3 linked regions of the Schizosaccharomyces pombe genome follow. Changing the gene in region 2 together with the main gene of any one other region gives a genetic interaction. Each region holds a gene or a part of one and is shown on either strand. Other genes may lie near its edges.

Evidence for each region. A genetic interaction does not mean that the proteins touch.
Region 1: mutations in rev3 (region 2) and mcm4 impair growth when combined (synthetic growth defect), as found in Schizosaccharomyces pombe (one study listed by BioGRID).
Region 3: of rev3 (region 2) and rev1, changing one enhances a phenotype caused by changing the other (phenotypic enhancement), as found in Schizosaccharomyces pombe (one study listed by BioGRID).

What each region holds. Positions count from the first base shown.
Region 1 is NC_003421.2:898,528-903,925, forward strand, and holds mcm4 (MCM complex subunit Mcm4/Cdc21), read left to right. Parts: upstream 1-1,860; 5' UTR 1,861-1,874; coding exon 1,875-4,610; 3' UTR 4,611-4,898; downstream 4,899-5,398. Other genes in the region: 19S proteasome regulatory subunit rpn1302, read right to left, coding at 1-105, 216-300, 498-628; SPOM_SPCC24B10.02C (NAD/NADH kinase), read right to left, coding at 5,023-5,398. UniProt on the Schizosaccharomyces pombe protein: Acts as a component of the mcm2-7 complex (mcm complex) which is the putative replicative helicase essential for 'once per cell cycle' DNA replication initiation and elongation in eukaryotic cells.
Region 2 is NC_003424.3:3,127,652-3,135,038, forward strand, and holds rev3 (DNA polymerase zeta catalytic subunit Rev3), read left to right. Parts: upstream 1-2,137; 5' UTR 2,138-2,226; coding exon 2,227-6,669; 3' UTR 6,670-6,841; downstream 6,842-7,387. Other genes in the region: rim2 (mitochondrial pyrimidine nucleotide transporter), read left to right, coding at 38-162, 211-1,129. UniProt on the Schizosaccharomyces pombe protein: Nonessential DNA polymerase. Required for DNA damage induced mutagenesis. Involved in DNA repair, mitochondrial DNA repair and translesion synthesis. Has a role in the bypass of abasic (AP) sites.
Region 3 is NC_003423.3:4,060,732-4,066,400, reverse strand, and holds rev1 (deoxycytidyl transferase Rev1), read left to right. Parts: upstream 1-1,987; 5' UTR 1,988-2,242; coding exon 2,243-5,050; 3' UTR 5,051-5,169; downstream 5,170-5,669. Other genes in the region: sporulation specific PIL domain protein Meu14, read right to left, coding at 26-107; ani1 (FKBP-type peptidyl-prolyl cis-trans isomerase), read right to left, coding at 759-1,844; GATOR2-SEACAT complex/COPII-coated vesicle component/nuclear pore outer ring WD repeat protein Sec13, read right to left, coding at 5,399-5,669. UniProt on the Schizosaccharomyces pombe protein: Deoxycytidyl transferase involved in DNA repair. Transfers a dCMP residue from dCTP to the 3'-end of a DNA primer in a template-dependent reaction.

The DNA of each region.
Region 1 (5,398 bases), on a different chromosome or scaffold from region 2:
AAAATGAATCTGCGAAGAGGATTTAAATTTTAGTGCATATACGCGTCCCGTGGTACATTCATCAATTTTGATAAACTCTGCTTCTTCTGGAAATATGATGTAGTCCTTCATTATATGTTAGTAAACATAAACCAAATTAAAAAAAAAAAAACGCAAAAGTAAATTTATATATATAAATAGGTATACTTTGCAATTGATTTAAATTGTCTTCATACATCTTCTACTTCTCTAGAAACCCTGGCCCTTTCTTTCCAATAGAAATGCAATAATTCATCAGAAGCCATTTGCATATAGATAACTCTAAACAAATGTCAGTATTAAAAATCAGATCTTTTAACTTTATAAACAGAAAACAATTCCACAAAACCCAACAGTGTGGATTTTCACGCATCCTTCCAACGTAAACATGCAAAGAAGCTTCATAAACAATTCTTTGGGTAGAATTTCGTTTTCCCAGTAGAAAGGACTACTATCTATATTATTATTATAGTACATACCCTTTTCGGTGATCAGCTTGCAGAATATTCGTTCCTGGCTTTCTTTGAAGTTTTCCAGCTTTTACGGAGACTAATCCATACTTTCCTCTCTCGCTAGTCTCGTTTCTTACTCTTCCAAAAACTGATTCCATTTGTAATTTATTTTTTGTCAACTCAAAAGCTCACGATTATTGACCTTGTGAATTGTTGTGGTATAGTTGAGTATGCAGTGTACACAGTGCAAGTGAGCAAAGTAATCCACACAAACGTATCATGTCTATAGACATGATTTCTCAAAATCATTTAATTTTCTAATTGTCGCCACTATAATCATCTTTTATCATGTAATAGACAATCTTTTTAGGTGGTTAACTGCTCTAATATTTGAAGCTGATTTATCAAGCCGCATTTGATGGTTTCGCCTAAAAAGATGTTTTAATAGCAAATTAATACTACACTTTAAAAGGAAAAGGAACGTTCCACTATGCAGTGGAATTCATCTCTTAAAGGGCCTTGAAAAGACATAAGCCAATTTTTGTATCATCGTTAATGGCATCAATAGTAAAACAGAATAAACCAGTTTTCACCAATTATACATAGAAGAAAATCAAGATACAATAAATGTCTATAATCCTTTCAGGTTTTGAAGAGCAAAACATAATCGAGAAAAAGTATGCGTCCTACACAATGGTATTTCACTAGAAATAATAGAAAAATACATTCATACACTATTTGAAATTCACACCATATAACTCATAATATACAGACTTAAGTTTTTTTTATTAGAGACAGTCCAGTAGTCGAATGGTCAAATGAACTCTACAAATGGTTAATATAATAACAACTCAGGTATTCAATATGAGAGAAAATTCAAAATAAACCTTATTTTAAGAAATATTATTAGTAAAATTACTAAATCACCATCTGCCCTCTTCAATTAGCGTCAAATCACAGTTAATAGATTCGACCTTCAAATACAACTGGTAGTTCCAAATTGCAAAAACGATCATCTCAAAATGTTAAACTAGCATAACGTTTAATTAAAGCAATGTAATCCTTTATTTCAACATTCTTTTCATATTTCTCTTCATTCGTCCAAAAAAATAGAATATCACTTAAAAGGAAGTAAGTCAATAACAAATTCATAATACCTTATTTATGATAACAAATTTGCTTTAATTGATCCTAATATCTAGTGTCGCAAAGTTTTTTAGTTTACATTTTCATAGTCAATTACTGGTAGCTTGATGATCAATGGAGAATATGACAAATTGTTAAAAAATTATACAAATTTCCAATTATTTAAATCTTTGCTATGCTATTTATCTCTTCATTGTTGTATGTTTATGAGTAGTTACTCTACTCCCTTACACTGTCTTTCTACACCCACCACGAGTCATGTCCTCTAGTCAGCAAAGTGGCAGAGCCAATGAGTTGAGGACTCCTGGAAGAGCTAACAGCTCTTCAAGAGAAGCAGTGGATTCTTCTCCGTTATTTTTTCCTGCTTCGTCTCCTGGTTCTACACGCCTTACAACACCGAGGACTACAGCGCGTACACCTCTCGCTTCCTCTCCTTTACTGTTTGAATCTAGTTCACCAGGTCCAAACATTCCTCAGAGTTCACGTTCTCATCTTTTATCTCAGCGTAATGACTTGTTCCTTGACAGTAGTTCGCAGAGAACACCGCGCTCGACAAGACGTGGAGACATCCATTCTAGCGTGCAAATGTCTACCCCATCTCGTCGAAGAGAAGTTGACCCTCAACGTCCCGGGGTAAGCACTCCTAGTAGCTTGTTGTTTTCTGGGTCAGATGCACTCACGTTTAGTCAGGCGCACCCAAGCAGTGAAGTAGCTGATGACACTGTCCGTGTCATTTGGGGAACAAATGTATCTATTCAAGAAAGTATCGCTTCCTTTCGTGGATTTCTACGTGGGTTTAAGAAAAAGTATCGACCTGAATACAGAAATGAACTTATGCCACCTCCTGATGCCGAACAACTAGTGTATATTGAAGCGCTACGAAACATGCGTATTATGGGTTTGGAAATATTAAATCTTGATGTTCAGGATTTAAAGCATTATCCCCCAACCAAGAAGCTATATCACCAGCTTTACTCATACCCTCAAGAAATCATTCCTATCATGGATCAAACCATTAAAGACGTTATGCTAGACTTGTTAGGAACTAATCCTCCCGAAGATGTTCTTAATGACATTGAGCTTAAAATTTACAAAATTCGTCCTTTTAATCTTGAAAAATGCATTAATATGCGTGATCTTAATCCTGGTGACATTGACAAATTGATCTCTATTAAAGGTCTGGTACTTAGGTGTACACCTGTAATACCCGACATGAAGCAAGCATTTTTTCGATGTTCAGTTTGTGGTCATTGTGTTACCGTGGAAATCGATAGAGGGCGAATTGCTGAGCCCATAAAATGCCCTAGAGAAGTCTGTGGTGCTACAAATGCAATGCAGCTAATTCATAATCGTTCTGAATTCGCCGATAAGCAAGTTATTAAACTCCAAGAGACACCTGACGTGGTACCGGATGGCCAAACCCCACACTCTGTAAGTCTGTGCGTATATGATGAACTGGTTGACTCTGCTAGAGCAGGAGATCGTATAGAAGTCACTGGGATTTTTCGCTGTGTACCAGTTCGTTTGAACCCTCGCATGCGTACTGTAAAATCATTATTTAAAACTTATGTCGACGTTGTTCACATAAAAAAGCAGGACAAACGTCGTTTGGGTACGGATCCTTCTACGTTGGAAAGCGATATTGCTGAAGATGCTGCTTTACAAATTGATGAAGTACGGAAAATATCAGACGAAGAAGTGGAAAAAATTCAACAAGTTTCAAAGCGGGACGATATATACGATATTCTTTCCCGGTCTCTGGCACCTAGCATTTACGAAATGGATGATGTTAAAAAGGGGCTTTTGCTACAGCTATTTGGTGGAACGAACAAGTCTTTTCATAAAGGCGCAAGTCCGAGATATCGTGGAGACATAAATATCTTGATGTGTGGTGATCCATCTACGTCTAAGTCTCAAATTTTGAAGTATGTCCATAAGATAGCACCCAGAGGTGTTTACACTAGTGGCAAGGGTTCATCTGCTGTTGGTTTAACTGCCTATATTACTCGTGACCAAGACACGAAGCAACTAGTCTTGGAAAGTGGTGCTTTGGTACTGTCAGATGGGGGCATTTGCTGCATTGATGAGTTTGACAAAATGTCCGATGCTACACGTTCTATTCTTCATGAAGTTATGGAGCAGCAAACCGTTACAGTTGCCAAGGCTGGCATTATTACTACTTTGAACGCTAGGACTTCTATTTTAGCTAGTGCAAATCCAATTGGAAGCAAATACAATCCAGACTTGCCTGTCACCAAAAATATTGATCTTCCGCCTACTCTCTTATCTAGATTTGATTTGGTGTATTTAATATTAGACCGCGTGGATGAAACGCTGGATAGGAAGCTCGCAAATCATATTGTTTCTATGTACATGGAAGATACTCCTGAACATGCTACAGATATGGAGGTCTTTAGTGTGGAATTTTTGACAAGCTATATCACATATGCTAGAAATAATATTAATCCTGTCATTAGTGAAGAGGCAGCAAAGGAACTAGTGAATGCTTATGTTGGTATGCGAAAGCTTGGGGAGGATGTGCGAGCATCTGAGAAAAGAATTACTGCTACAACAAGACAACTGGAATCAATGATTCGTCTATCTGAGGCCCATGCGAAAATGCATCTTCGCAACGTTGTTGAGGTAGGAGATGTTCTTGAAGCTGCTCGCTTGATTAAGACCGCTATTAAGGATTATGCAACTGATCCTGCAACAGGAAAGATTTCTCTTGACCTAATTTATGTTAATGAAAGAGAGACTTTGGTACCTGAAGATATGGTCAAAGAACTGGCGAATTTAATTTCAAATTTAACTGTGGGTGGAAAAACTATGTTGGTCAGTCAATTGTTAACTCGGTTTCGTGAGCAGAGTTCTACTCGCTTAGATGCTTCTGATTTCGAAGCTTGTCTGGGTGCTTTGGAAAGGCGAGGACGTATTAAGGTTATTACCAGTGCTGGACATCGCATTGTACGTTCAATTGCACAGACTGATTAATTTTTTAGCGAATAAGCTGGTATTATTCATGAGCCATAAACCATAGGTCGTTGTTGAAAATCAAAGACTACAGAGCATAATACGAATGTCTTTCTTGTTATATATACACACGTTCTTTTTGTTATAAAAATATTTTACATATTTATCGAGGGATCCTTAACATTCATTTTTCTTTTTTTTTTCGGCTTTTGAGTATGAACTGAACAATGAGTAAACATTATGAATATAAATTCGTTAATACCAAAGTTGAAATAATAATAATAATAATAATTAACATAAACTTTCAAAAAACTAACAGATATCTAAACAATCGTAACCAATAATTCGCCATGATTCGTAGAGGCAGTGTGTGCCTAATTTTAAGTATTTTCAACAGTAGTCAGATGTCATTAAAAGAAAAATGGATAGCAATTTAACCATCAATGTCTGCAGAAAATTCTCTGCAATAGGAATTATCTGTAATATCAAATTTATCGTCACTTGTATCCTTAACATCACTCAAGCTTGGTTTTCTAGAAAAGGGCTTTTGACGCTCACGCACATTCCAATTGAATTTATCTTCTAATACCTTGGTCCATTGGTATCCTGGATTTTGAATGGTTGTGAAAGGGTAATGAGACGTAACAATTGATAAATAGTCGCCTCTATGCATCTCCACAGATTCATGACGGTCAACGGAAAAGAATGCACTACTTCGAGAATCCAAAGGGATCTCAACGTTCAAAACATTGTAATCTGGTAAAATAATAGGACGGAAAGAAAGCGTATGAGGACAAACTGGTGTTACT
Region 2 (7,387 bases):
ATTACATTGCCAAGAGCCAAAAATTAGGAGTTTGGACATGCTGTCAAATTCAGAGATTAAACCCTCTGAAAACTCACAAAAAACAAAAGTTTTATTAACAAAAGCAAATAATGCCAGTAACGAACGTGCTCCACCGCCTTTGTCGCATTTTATAGCGGGTGGGTAAGTGATTTGTAAATTTACGGGAAATGTCTTTCTAATATTCTTTAGAGTTGCAGGAATGTTAGGAGCGATTGCAACAGCACCTTTGGACGTAGTGAAGACGAGGTTGCAGTCTGACTTTTACAAAGACAGATTTTTGAAGCAAACGGCGAAATCGAAAAGTCCATTGACGGCTGCATATAGGCATTTTATGGATACATGTATAATATTAAAAAATGTAAAAGTTCATGAAGGAACAAGAGCACTATTTCGTGGCTTAGGTCCTAATTTAATAGGAACAATTCCTGCACGGTCAATTAACTTTTTTTCATATGGCAATGGCAAGCGTATATTGGCTGATCTCTTTAATAATGGTCAAGAGAACTCTCAAATACATCTAATGGCTGCTGCAATTGCAGGTGTAATTACTTCTGCTGCGACTAATCCAATATGGTTAGTAAAAACACGATTACAATTAGATAAAAAAAGTGGACAAGCTGCTCAGTATCGTTCTTCGATTGATTGCATCATAAAAACAATAAGGCTTGAAGGATTCCGAGGATTATATAAAGGTTTATCTGCCAGTTTACTAGGAGTCGGTGAAAGTACTCTCCAGTGGGTTCTATACGAAAAATTCAAGCACGCTGTCGCTATTCGACAACTTCGTCGAAAAGAACTTGGTATTCAAGAAACTATTTATGACAAAGTTTTAGATTGGGGTGGGAAGCTTGGAGGAGCTGGAATTGCTAAATTTATGGCAGCCGGCATTGCATATCCACATGAAGTTGTTCGAACACGTTTACGACAAAGTCCATCTATAAATGGTACTCCTAAATACACTGGACTCATACAATGCTTTAAATTAGTTTGGATGGAACAAGGGATTGTTGGACTGTACGGAGGTTTGACTGCACATTTACTACGAGTAGTTCCTAATGCTTGCATTCTTTTTGGAAGTTACGAAGTAATAATGCACTTCATTGGCTAGGTTTTCCAATGGCATGTTGACTATAAAACGGATCTACTAAAATTACCAGCTTGGAGAAGTGAGGAACCTATAGCAAAAGAGGATAATCATCACCTTTCCATTATTTTTTATATAATAATGCACATGAACAATTTTCCATTCGTACGGTTATGCTTAAAAGACTTATATGAATGTTAAATGCAAAAACTTTGGACTCCTATTTTTTTAACCAAAATTGCGTTTCAATTAATGATTTTCAGAAATTGTATTTATGATCTTTTGTCAATTTTTCTTTAACATGCTAAAACTTAAATTAAGTAATGAAGTTGACTATTTTTACTTCTTTATTAGTTAAAGGTAAGTATTTGTCTCAAATGGTTTTGAAAAATTTTGAATGAGTGGTTAAATCTCTCTTTGTTATCTTTACTCTGCATTTTGATACAAATTACGGCCCATAACAAAGCTTATTGAAGGTGTACGTTAAAAAACTTGTTGTGAATGATGGTTCTAAACGAGCGGACTAAATAGCTTTACCCCTTTCTTTTTTCATAACAATTCAAATCTAAATGGTCGGTGCGTTGATTTGCCATTAAAACAATAATATTATTGACATTTTAATATTATTTTGGATTCAAAAAAAATTTGTATTAACTAAGTTTCAAGTTATTCATTTACAGCAAATGTAGCCATATATCAACATTTTGTACAAATTTGATATGAATCATTCAAAAAGTTCGTTTGAGGTTCAATAATATGATTTTAAGATCTAAACTATTGTCGTTTCCTAACAAAATCATTATAAATTCTGCATATATCCCTTTTGCTATAGTTGAGGAACTCCTGTAGATTAACTATTCGTTAGAATAATGAGTGCAGTAATTCATCTATTTTAAACGGAATTAAGTAAGTATTTATATATAAAAATTAGTCTTATTATTCTTGGTCAATTTAACTCTTATATTTCACATATTGATTCTTACAGTAGTGGCACTGTTTAGGGTGTAGAGGTTGATCTAATCAACACTGAACAACATTTGCCATACTATGTGAAAACCGACATTTTCTCTCAGCCGTGATAAAAACTATCATATGAAATTTTACTATAAAAAAAGCATTGAATGCGATTTTCAATCGAGTATATAGATTGGGAATTAAGTCCTTGTGATCCAGCTTATGATTTCGTAGGGAAAGATTTGCCGACTGCAAATGAAGAGTTAACCACTGTTCCAGTTATTCGAGTTTTTGGATTGAATGAAGAAGCAGAAACTGTTTGCTGCTTTATCCACAACGTTTTCCCATATATTTATGTCGAATACTCTAGTTTTGCAGAAACGTTAGATCTTGAAGTTCCAGATTTTTTAAGCCAATTACAAACATCAATTAATTATGCTTTAGCATTAGCGGCAAGAGCAAATCCAGAAACTTACAAACCTGCTGTACAAAGCGTTCAGCTTGTGAAGGGAATTCCGTTTTATGGGTACTCCTTCTGTTTTCAGAAATTCTTAAAGATCTGTCTTTTTAGTCCGAAAAACAGAGATAGACTAGTCGATTTATTCAGGCAAGGTGCTATATTAAACAAAGTTATTCAAGTTTACGAATCCCATCTTCCTTACTTACTACAATTTATGGTCGATCATAATCTATATGGTTGTGCTCCAATAGATTTAGATGACTCCATTATAAAGAGAGACGATCTCTTGAGTTTTTGTAACGTCGAGGTTCACGTGTCTCCAAATGCTATTCTCAATGCCTGCTGGTTGAGTGAACGTAATATCCATACTGATTTATATGAAACTCATGCTTCAAGTCCAAATTCACTATTGGTAACTAGTTTAGCTGAAATTTGGAAATCGGAAGCTTCTCGGAGGAATTTAACCAGTAGCGATGAGACTAATAGTTTTTCTAAATTGCACCAAAGTCAGTTCGGTCTCAAAGAAGAGAGTAGCCATGAACCGCGAAGTTCCCAGCACTGGAAAAATGAAGTTGCCATGAAAGATCTGTTAAAAAACTTGATCAAAAGTAAATTAGAATCTTCTTCCGATGTCAATACTCCACTCATCTTTGATCCGTGGCCTGAGCTGCCTACCATTTATTCTGCAATCCACACCAAAGATTACGTACGCCCATCCCAAAATGATATTTCAGTTTCTCAAATATCTGTAGATGAGAAAATCTGTACTTCTTATGAAAGCCTGCCAAAGATTCAACTTGAACAAAACACTGCACCCGTCATAGAATCTTCTTTTGAACAACTGGACTCTGAGCTCGAGCGTATATTGGGAGATACACTTTTTGATTCATTTCCTTATGTAGAACCCAATGTTGATAGATCTAAATTTCCCAAAAGTCCTCTTAATTCTTCTCAAGAAGTTACCATTCACTCTTCACAAGATAGACAATCACCTCCCTCTTCGCCCTTAAAAGATGTACCTTCTCAAATAAATCCATTTTCCCCCAGCCTTAGATTAAAAGGGGGTTCACCCATAACTAAAAGGGAAATTGAATTTTGTCGAGATCTGCCGAATCGTCCCACCAGCTCTGAACCGAATCAAGGGGATACTAGAAAAGCAGGAAAGAGACTAAAATATTCTAGAAATCTTGATGATTATCATATTTGTACTCAAATTCCTGAAGACTACTCCCCAAAATTCTTATCTCAACATGAATCTTTTGTTTACAAACAACAACCTCCTTCGACGGATGATCTTTATGGGACTATGAAAAAATTGAAAATCCCATTTTCAATACCGACAAATGTTCACTATAGTTCGGAGAAGGACATTCCCTCTTACTCCCAAGAATATTTAGGAAAATCTCATTATCCGATCGGTGTTTCTTCTAGATATTTGCCAGAATTTCAATCAGATGGATCGGTAAGCGAAAAAGTTCGACTAAATCCACTTAAGCTTAGTAATTTTCACGGAGAACGGACGTGGCAATATATAAAACCTGCACCACTTGCTGTAGATTTATCAAATCTTGAATCGAAAGAAGCCGTTTCAGAGGAAATACAAAGCCCACAAAGGTTATCCAGAAGTAAGGTTTTTAGAAAAGATCCTTATTCATGTGTGCGCATCTTAGCGCTTGAATTGTTTTGCTGTAGCCATGGGGGATTGACCCCAGATCCCACTAAAGACTCTATAGAGTGTTGTTTCTGGGCATATCAAGAAGATGTAAACAGCAGTATGATTGACAGAGTTGGTTTTATTGTGGTCGACAAATCTGCGTCGAACTCTTCTTTTGGGCGAAGTTTTCCAAGCTGCACCGTTTTAGTTGTAAATTCCGAACTTGAACTTATTAATGAAGTTATAGGATTAAATCGCCAGCTTGATCCGACCATCGTATGTGGTTACGAAGTTCATAATAGCTCATGGGGTTATTTAATAGAACGAGCATCTTATCGATTTAATTATGACTTGCCTGAACAATTGTCCCGACTTAAGTGCACTTCGAAAGCAAATTTTGCAAAGAAAGAGAATGCATGGAAATATACAACTACTTCATCCATCAATATTGTGGGCCGGCATGTTTTGAATATATGGAGAATTCTCCGTGGTGAAGTTAATTTACTTAACTATTCCCTCGAAAATGTTGTTCTTAACATTTTTAAAAAGCAGACCCCTTATTATAATCAAGCTGATAAAGTGCATCTTTGGCAGAGCTCTCGTTTTCATGAGAAGCAAATCCTTTTAAATTATATGTTAAACAGGACTAGATATTGTTTGGAAATATTATCAGCCTGTGCCATTGTCACTAAAATTCGTGAACAAGCAAGAATTATCGGAATTGACTTCATGTCAGTAATTTCTAGGGGGTCCCAGTTTAAAGTTGAATCTATTATGTTTCGAATTGCAAAGCCTGAAAATTACATATTTCCATCACCTAGCGCTAAGCAAGTTGCTGAGCAAAATGCTTTAGAAGCGTTACCTCTTGTTATGGAGCCGAAGTCTGATTTATACAATAATCCGGTAGTTGTACTAGATTTTCAGTCACTATACCCCTCTATTATAATTGCATATAATCTTTGTTATTCCACATGTCTTGGACCTGTGAAAATAGTCAATGGAAAAGTTAAGCTTGGATTTATGTTTCATTCAAGCAATCCAAACATTGTGAATTTAATAAAAAATGATGTATATATCTCCCCTAATGGTTATGCATACGTTAAAGAGAATGTTAGAAAGTCTTTGCTCGCTAAAATGCTAGAGGAACTTATTGAAACCAGAAATATGGTGAAAAGAGGCATGAAAGATTGTGACTCGGACTATGTCAACAAAGTATTGAATAGTCGGCAACTGGCCCTAAAATTGATTGCAAACGTAACTTACGGATATACTTCAGCGTCATTTTCAGGAAGAATGCCGTGTTCAGAAATCGCAGATACTATTGTGGAAACAGGACGTGAGATACTTAGCTATTCACTAGAATACATAAATACTTTAGATTTTTGTCATGCAAAGGTCGTTTATGGTGATACCGATAGCTTATTTGTTGAATTACCTGGAGCGACTAAAGAGCAAGCTTTCGACATCGGACAGCAGCTAGCAAACAACATTACTTCCAGATTTCCTTCTCCAATTCGACTTAAATTTGAAAAAATTTACTTTCCTTGTTTCTTGTTAGCGAAAAAAAGATATGTAGGGTTCAAATTTGAATCAGTTAGTCAAAAAGCTCCAATTTTTGAAGCGAAAGGCATTGAGACAGTTCGAAGGGATGGTACTCCTGTTCAACAGCAGCTCCTTCGTCGTTGCCTTGAAATACTTTTTAAGACAAAGGATTTGTCAACGGTCAAAAAAGAATTTCAGAACGTATGTTATCAAATTATGAGTGGAAACGTTCCTGTTATGGATTTTTGTTTTTCAAAAGAAGTTCGTCTAGAAAAATATAAAGAATTAAGTACTGCTCCTCCTGGAGCAGTTATGGCTAGACGGTTGATGACCAAAGATCCTAGGAGGGAACCTCAATATGGAGAACGTGTTCCATATTTGATTATCGCTGCTGCTCCTGGTACCACCTTGGCGAACCGCTCAGTTGCACCCGAAGAATTTCTGTCTTCGAGTTTTTCTCAACTTGATATAAATTATTATATCAACAATAGTTTGATACCTCCATTAGATCGATTTCTAAACTTGTTAGGGGCTAGTGCCCAGTCATGGTATCATGAAATGCCCAAACCACGTACCAGTTTAAAATTGACTGAAACAGTGAAAGGAGGTATTCAAAAAAAGACTTTGGACACTTTTCTGATGGAGAAGCTTTGCTCTTCTTGCTTGAAGAATAATATTGAAATTATTCCTGATAAAATTAACTCCCTCTGCAGTGATTGCTTAAAAAATCCTTGTGCTACTATTTCTAAAGCTGTTACGCAGCACAATGCTTATAACAAAAAACTTTCCTTGCTATTTGATATTTGTCGAGGCTGCAGTAAGCTTTCATCTAGTGATCCAGTTCTTTGCAAGTCAAATAGCTGTAAGGTGTACTATGATAGGGCGAAAACTGAGAATTATGCGAAAGTACAGGCAGAAATGTTAACGAAGACTCTTGGTTCTTTAGACTGGTAAATCATTATAACTTCAAATATTGGTGTGAAGGACTTGAAATTAAAATACATCAGGCATTTGTTCTCTTATCACCTGCTAGTTTATTCATCTACGTATTATTTATTACAATTATTTATTTTTTTTAGAAGGTTATATCGATAACTAAAAATATTAATATCATCATGTTATTGGATTTTTTTTTTTTAGTTAAAATTTAGTAAACCTCTTCGTATTCTAGGGTGCGTAGCAATTCTTTATTTACTTTTTACTGTCCGCAATACTACGCTGTGATACTTTACGTCGCGTGTCACTATATGTCAAGTGCACTGTTTTGATTTATCAACTTGACATGATAAGTTATCAAGGTACGGTTACTAATTATGATAAAGTAACTATCACTTACTACATTCAAATTCTTAACACTATATATTGAGATAAACTGAAGTGAGGACGGGAATCGGTTTTTAGCTACGTTAGTGATAAGTAACAGATAATGTGTATTAGAATACTTACATCAATTGCTACTTATATTACCTCGTATTGCAATATAACAATCACAAGGAAGATTCAATACTGTTTTTAAGTATCGTTAAAATAGATACCGAAATACGTAGCTGATATTTGCGAGACAAATTACTTCGTAATTATCAAAATTCGTACGGGACACGGATGTCGTAGTTTTGAAACAGAACCAATTTCTATAGTAAGAACGGACAGAAGACAATCTTGTACATAGCAC
Region 3 (5,669 bases), on a different chromosome or scaffold from region 2:
TTTATCACACCAATTTATATCTTACTATTTTTATTTAAACCCTTCACGAGACCGTTTTCTCTTAAAGAGCCTTTTCTCTGCATTTTCAAGTTGCTTGATTTGGGCATGTTGATTGTTTACGTTTCAGAAAAATATATGCCCGCCTTAAGATTTGCCTGTAAACAGAAGCACAATTTTCAAATAAACAATATAGAAAAAAGACAAATAATAAAAATAATTCTTTAAATTCTAAAACTGCTTGTTTTTTTTTAAGTTGATTATTACGATAATTAATTTTAAGAATTTCGTAAACAAACAGCTGTTTGTAGACTTATTTAGCGATAATCAGATAATGGCTCTTTTATTATCAATATGTTTTTTTTTACTTTTAATAGAGTTTTTCGGAATGTTCTCGTTTATATTTACTCAAACTCAAAATTCCATAATTTAAACATCCTTAACTAGTATCGATCAAGGAAGCGCTATTCTCTTTTCTCTTAATGCTCATACACATACAAACAGCTCTTTCTAAAAAATTGTATATTGATTATATCTCCTTTATCACCCAACAATCCAAATCATCCAAAAGTCCTATATCCAAAGTGTTTGTAACACTTAACTAAAAAAAAATTTCCTAACTCAAATACAAAATGATACCCTGATTTTTTTTGAAACCTAAGAAAAAGATAGGCGATAAAAAGAGTTAATAGAATACATAGTTTAATCCGCGATCTTCTTAAACACGGGAGTTAAAGTATGTTCATCTTCAACATGAAAATTTAGTGAACGCGAACAAGCTTGACTTCAAAAACTAAGGTAGAATTCTTGGGAATTCCTGGAATGCTCTGGTTGCCGTAAGCCATGGGAGCAGGAATTGTAATCTTACGCTCACCGCCTTCTTGCATTCCAGCAACGCCGACGTCCCACCCGCGAATAACCTCACCACGACCAAGGATAAAAGCAAAGGGTTTACCTTTAGTGTTTTTGTCAAAAACCTTTCCATTTTCGAGCTTCCCAATATATCTCATTTCAACTTTTTTCCCATTGGTAGCAGACGCACCGCTCCCAGTTTTAACATCAGTTACAACCACGCCTCCTTTTAAAGTACGAGTCTTGGGACTAGAAGGTGCATTAGAAGAAGCTTGTTGCTTTTCTTTCTTAGCAGCGGGACCAGTAGGTCCTTGTTCAAGTTTTTCGGCAAATGCAACCTTCTTTTCCTTAACAGGGGTACCCTCAACCTTTTGCTTCTTGGTATTGTTTTTCTTAGGAGAAGCAGCCTCTTCTTGCTCGGATTCATCCTTAGTACGTTTTTTTTTAACCTGTGCCTTTTTAGCAGGAGCTGAATCCAATTCATCCTCCTCAGATGCTGAATTATCTTCCGACTCAGATTCCTCTTCACTTTCCTCATCACCGCTGACAGTCTCGACAAGATCCTCCTCAGTAGGAGACAAATCGTAATCCTCGTCAGATTCTTCCTCTTCCTCATCTTCTTCGTCAACCAAAAAGTTACCAGACAAGTGGATGGTTGCATCGCCAGATGCACTGAAGAAGACTTCGTCGCCAGGAGTAATGGTCAAATTTAAAGGCTGTTGGTATAAGGAACCAGGCTTCAAAGTACATAAAACAAATTCACGCTGGCTTTCTTCCAGAAGCTCTTGCATTTGTTCGTCAAGTTCTTCGTCATCTTCATCTTCAACGGGGATACGGGGACGAACCTTCACCAATAAAGTAGTTGGTTTATTAGACTTTTCGCCGGCATCAATGGATGCCATAGTCAAATGAATAGATGCATCTGTAGATTCCTCCACAGCGGGAACATCTTTTCCCTTTACCGAAAGACTATAAACAGCAATTGGAAGAGACATGACTTATTCTTGCCTAAGAGGTGAGGTGGTAGAGGATGTAAAAAATTTTGATACATAAACCGTTGTGTATTCCATTAAGTAAGGGTAGTGCGTATTACCGCGATTTGCAAATTATACTCAAAATTAATTAAATTTGGACGAGCGTGCATCACAACAAACGCGTAGTAATTATTTTTGATATTTCGTTGTTTTTTACTTTGAAATAGTTTGGCTTCACGAGTTTTGGGATAAGGTTAAATAATGAAAGAAAAAAGCTCTTGCAGTTAGTTTTTCTTTATAAACATTGTTTGTTTATTAATTACACTTTTTCCGCTTAAGTGGCTACATTATTATTTGTATTATTTTCCTTTCAGAAACATATTAATACTTATATTTACTGAAAGTGAGAAGCGCGCTGGATGGCTTTTAATCAAAGGAAGCGTCGACGCCCAGTAGGGATTGCAGACTTTGACGAAGCAAACGATGAGGCATACGAAAGTGTTGGGTTCCACGACTATGCAGATTATTTTTCCCGGAAACAAAGAAAGCTTCAAAATCAAAATGCCGCTCTATACAAAAGTATTGATGAAGATTCTAAATCTGATCTCTTTCATGGACTTGCAATAGCGATTAATGGATATACAAAGCCGTCTTATACCGAATTACGGCAAATGATAGTTTCAAATGGAGGTACTTTTATACAATATGTTGATGGAAAAACAAGCATATCATATTTGGTGTGTTCATTTCTCACTCCTTCCAAAGCTCGCCAATGGAAGCATCAGAAAGTGGTTAAACCAGAATGGATAGTGGATTGCATCAAACAGAAGAAAATTCTTCCGTGGATAAATTATCGTACCTTTCAAGCTTCATCGGCTCAAGCTACCCTTTCTTTTGTCGCCTCTAAACCTAGCCAACCCGAAGGTAACTTAGAAGATATTCAAACAAGCTCGCAGGAAGAAGAACATGATAATGAAAAAGATAAAACAAAAGAGAGTAAAGCAAAGGGATTTTTAGATGATTTGAGTGGATTATCAGCGTCTTCACTGCACAACTATCAATTGTTAAAAAATCCCAATGTCCGAAATTCAACCACTCAAAATCAAGATTTTCTTGAGAATTTCTTTAGCTCCTCTCGTTTACATCACTTAAGTACTTGGAAAGCTGATTTTAAAAATGAAATCCAAGCAATGACTACTGCTTCTGAACCTGTTCGTCCAATTATGAAAGATAAATCAAAAAAATCTCGTTTCCTTCTTCATGTTGATTTTGATTGCTTTTTTGCTTCCGTTTCAACACGCTTTTCTCATGAGCTACGACTGAAGCCCGTTGCTGTTGCTCATGGTATAAAAAATTCCGAAATAGCTAGTTGTAATTATGAGGCTCGGAAGTTTGGCATAAAAAATGGTATGTACGTTGGAACAGCTAAAAACCTGTGTCCTTCATTACGGGTTGTTGATTATGATTTTGGAGCATACGAATCTGTTTCTAGAGAATTTTACACTATCCTTGTTAATACACTTCACGACTATATTAAGGTTATAAGTATAGACGAGGCTCTTCTAGATATAACTTCTAGTGTTTCATCTTTTCAAGATTGCTTTGAGATTGCCGAGTCTATCCGCTCGCAGGTTCGCGAGAAAACCAATTGCGAAGTTAGCGTTGGTATTGGCCCAAATGTTCTCTTAGCAAGACTTGCACTTAGGAAGGCGAAGCCTCACAACGTTTATTCTTTGTCAATAGAAAATGTTTTTGATGTATTGAGTCCTTTGTCTGTTCAAGATTTACCAGGGGTGGGCTCTTCACAAGCGCAGAAACTTTTTAATTTGTACGGTGTGCGTACTATTGGGCAGCTGCAAAGAATTGAAAAATTCAATCTTCAAGAGACTTTTGGGGTAAATTACGGTCTGCATTTATACAATATTTCCAGAGGAATTGATACCGATATAATCAATAATGAAACCCCACGGAGGTCCATATCCGTAGATGTTAATTGGGGTGTTCGTTTCGTTTTTCAAGAGGATGGGATAGATTTCTTAAAACGGTTGCTTCATGAGTTGCTTTCCAGAATGGGTAAATGCCAAGTGCTTTTGCATCAAATTCAGCTTCGGATTTTGAAAAGGGCTGATGGAGCCCCTTTCAGTCCACCAAAGTACCTTGGAGCTGGGGAAGTCACTTCATTTACAAAATCTTCAACTTTTACTTCTGCTACTAATTCGTTTGACTTAATATGGAAGAAGGTGACCTCAATGTATAAAACAATTAATGTCGATCCAGGAGATGTACGTGGTATAGGATTACAAGCTCTCAAAATTATTAAAGACAACTCTAAAATTAGAAAAGATTACCGCTCTATACAGAGCATAACTTCTCGAAATAAAGTGTCGCTAAAAGGTGCATCTGTTGACATATCAAGTAAAGATAAAGAAATAATTAGTCAAAAGAAGCAGCTGTCTCCAAAACTTATTCCATCAACACCGTATGATCTGCCGTCATCTTCTCAAATCAGTTCCAGTGCTCTAGCTCAATTACCACCTTCGATGCAGTCTGATATACAGCAGCAATTGAGGTTGCAAAAGCGAAGTATTACGGAATATCCAAGCCAGTTAGATCCTTTGTTTATGGTTGAATTACCTACTCCTATAAGAAATGAAGTAAACGATAATCATGAGATTGCCATGAACAAACGTTTGTCATTAAAATCTCACGCGGATAATAAAATAGATGAACGAGGAAAGAAAAAAATAAGGCAAGAAAATGCATTTGATAAACTTTTACAAATTTCTAAGAAGTCAAAAACAATTAACAAGCCTAACGTTGATTATTTAACACTAAAGGAACTTCCAAAAGACTTACAGAAGCAAATCCTAAAAGAGAGCAATTTACAAAAATCGGACCTCATTTCTGAAGTAAAGCTAGAGAAACCTCATATTGTCACATTTCAACACGTACAATCGCTAGAGGATTTACGAGGGTTGTTAACAAAATGGTACAGTAAAGCGTCTAAAGGACCTAATATTCATGATGTGAATTATTTTGCAAATTACGTGTGTAGAGTTATACGAGAAGAAAAAAACCTAGGAAAGGCACAGATGATGCTAAAGTGGCTGTATCAACTTAATAGAAAGGAATGTAATAAGCCTTGGGAAAAAGCCATCGACAAAATAATTGAAACTGTTCAAGGAGAATGTTTGCAGAGAAACATACCTCCATTAATGATTTTTTAATGCTTTGTTTTCCAAATTCAATAAGGATTTTGGGAAAGATTTTGCGCTTAAGTAGATATGTTTATGCTTTTTAATAATGACCTTTAATCAAATGTATCTATTATGTTGTTTACATGTAACCACTGTAGTTCTTTTAACTACTAAAACCAGTCAATGATAAGCGTAACCTCACAGTTTTTATTGTTTTAAAGAGAGCAAAGGACAAAGAAATCTATAAGTCACTACAAAAATTTTTTCTTTTGCAAAAAAAAAAAGAATTATGCTTATTGAGATAGAAAGTTAAAACACATTACGACCATCATAAAATGTGATTAGGTTTGGAAGCGAAAGAAGATGAACTCATTAATTTCAGTTGCTCAGTTCATTGAGAAGCTGCCATTTATTTTGTGATTCTTTAAAAAGATATACCTTGTTATCGCCGCAAGAAACAGCCAATATATTGCCAGATAATGACCAAGATACACGCCATGCGATGTCAGGGAATTTTTCTTCGGTAAGAGGGGTTTTTTGCCAGGGACCATCTCCTTCTTTAGTCCAAATAAAAACATTTTTATCTTGAGAGGCGGAAGCTAAATAAGTTTTGGTGAGGCCCACACTGGGAGCCCAAGCAACGTCTCTG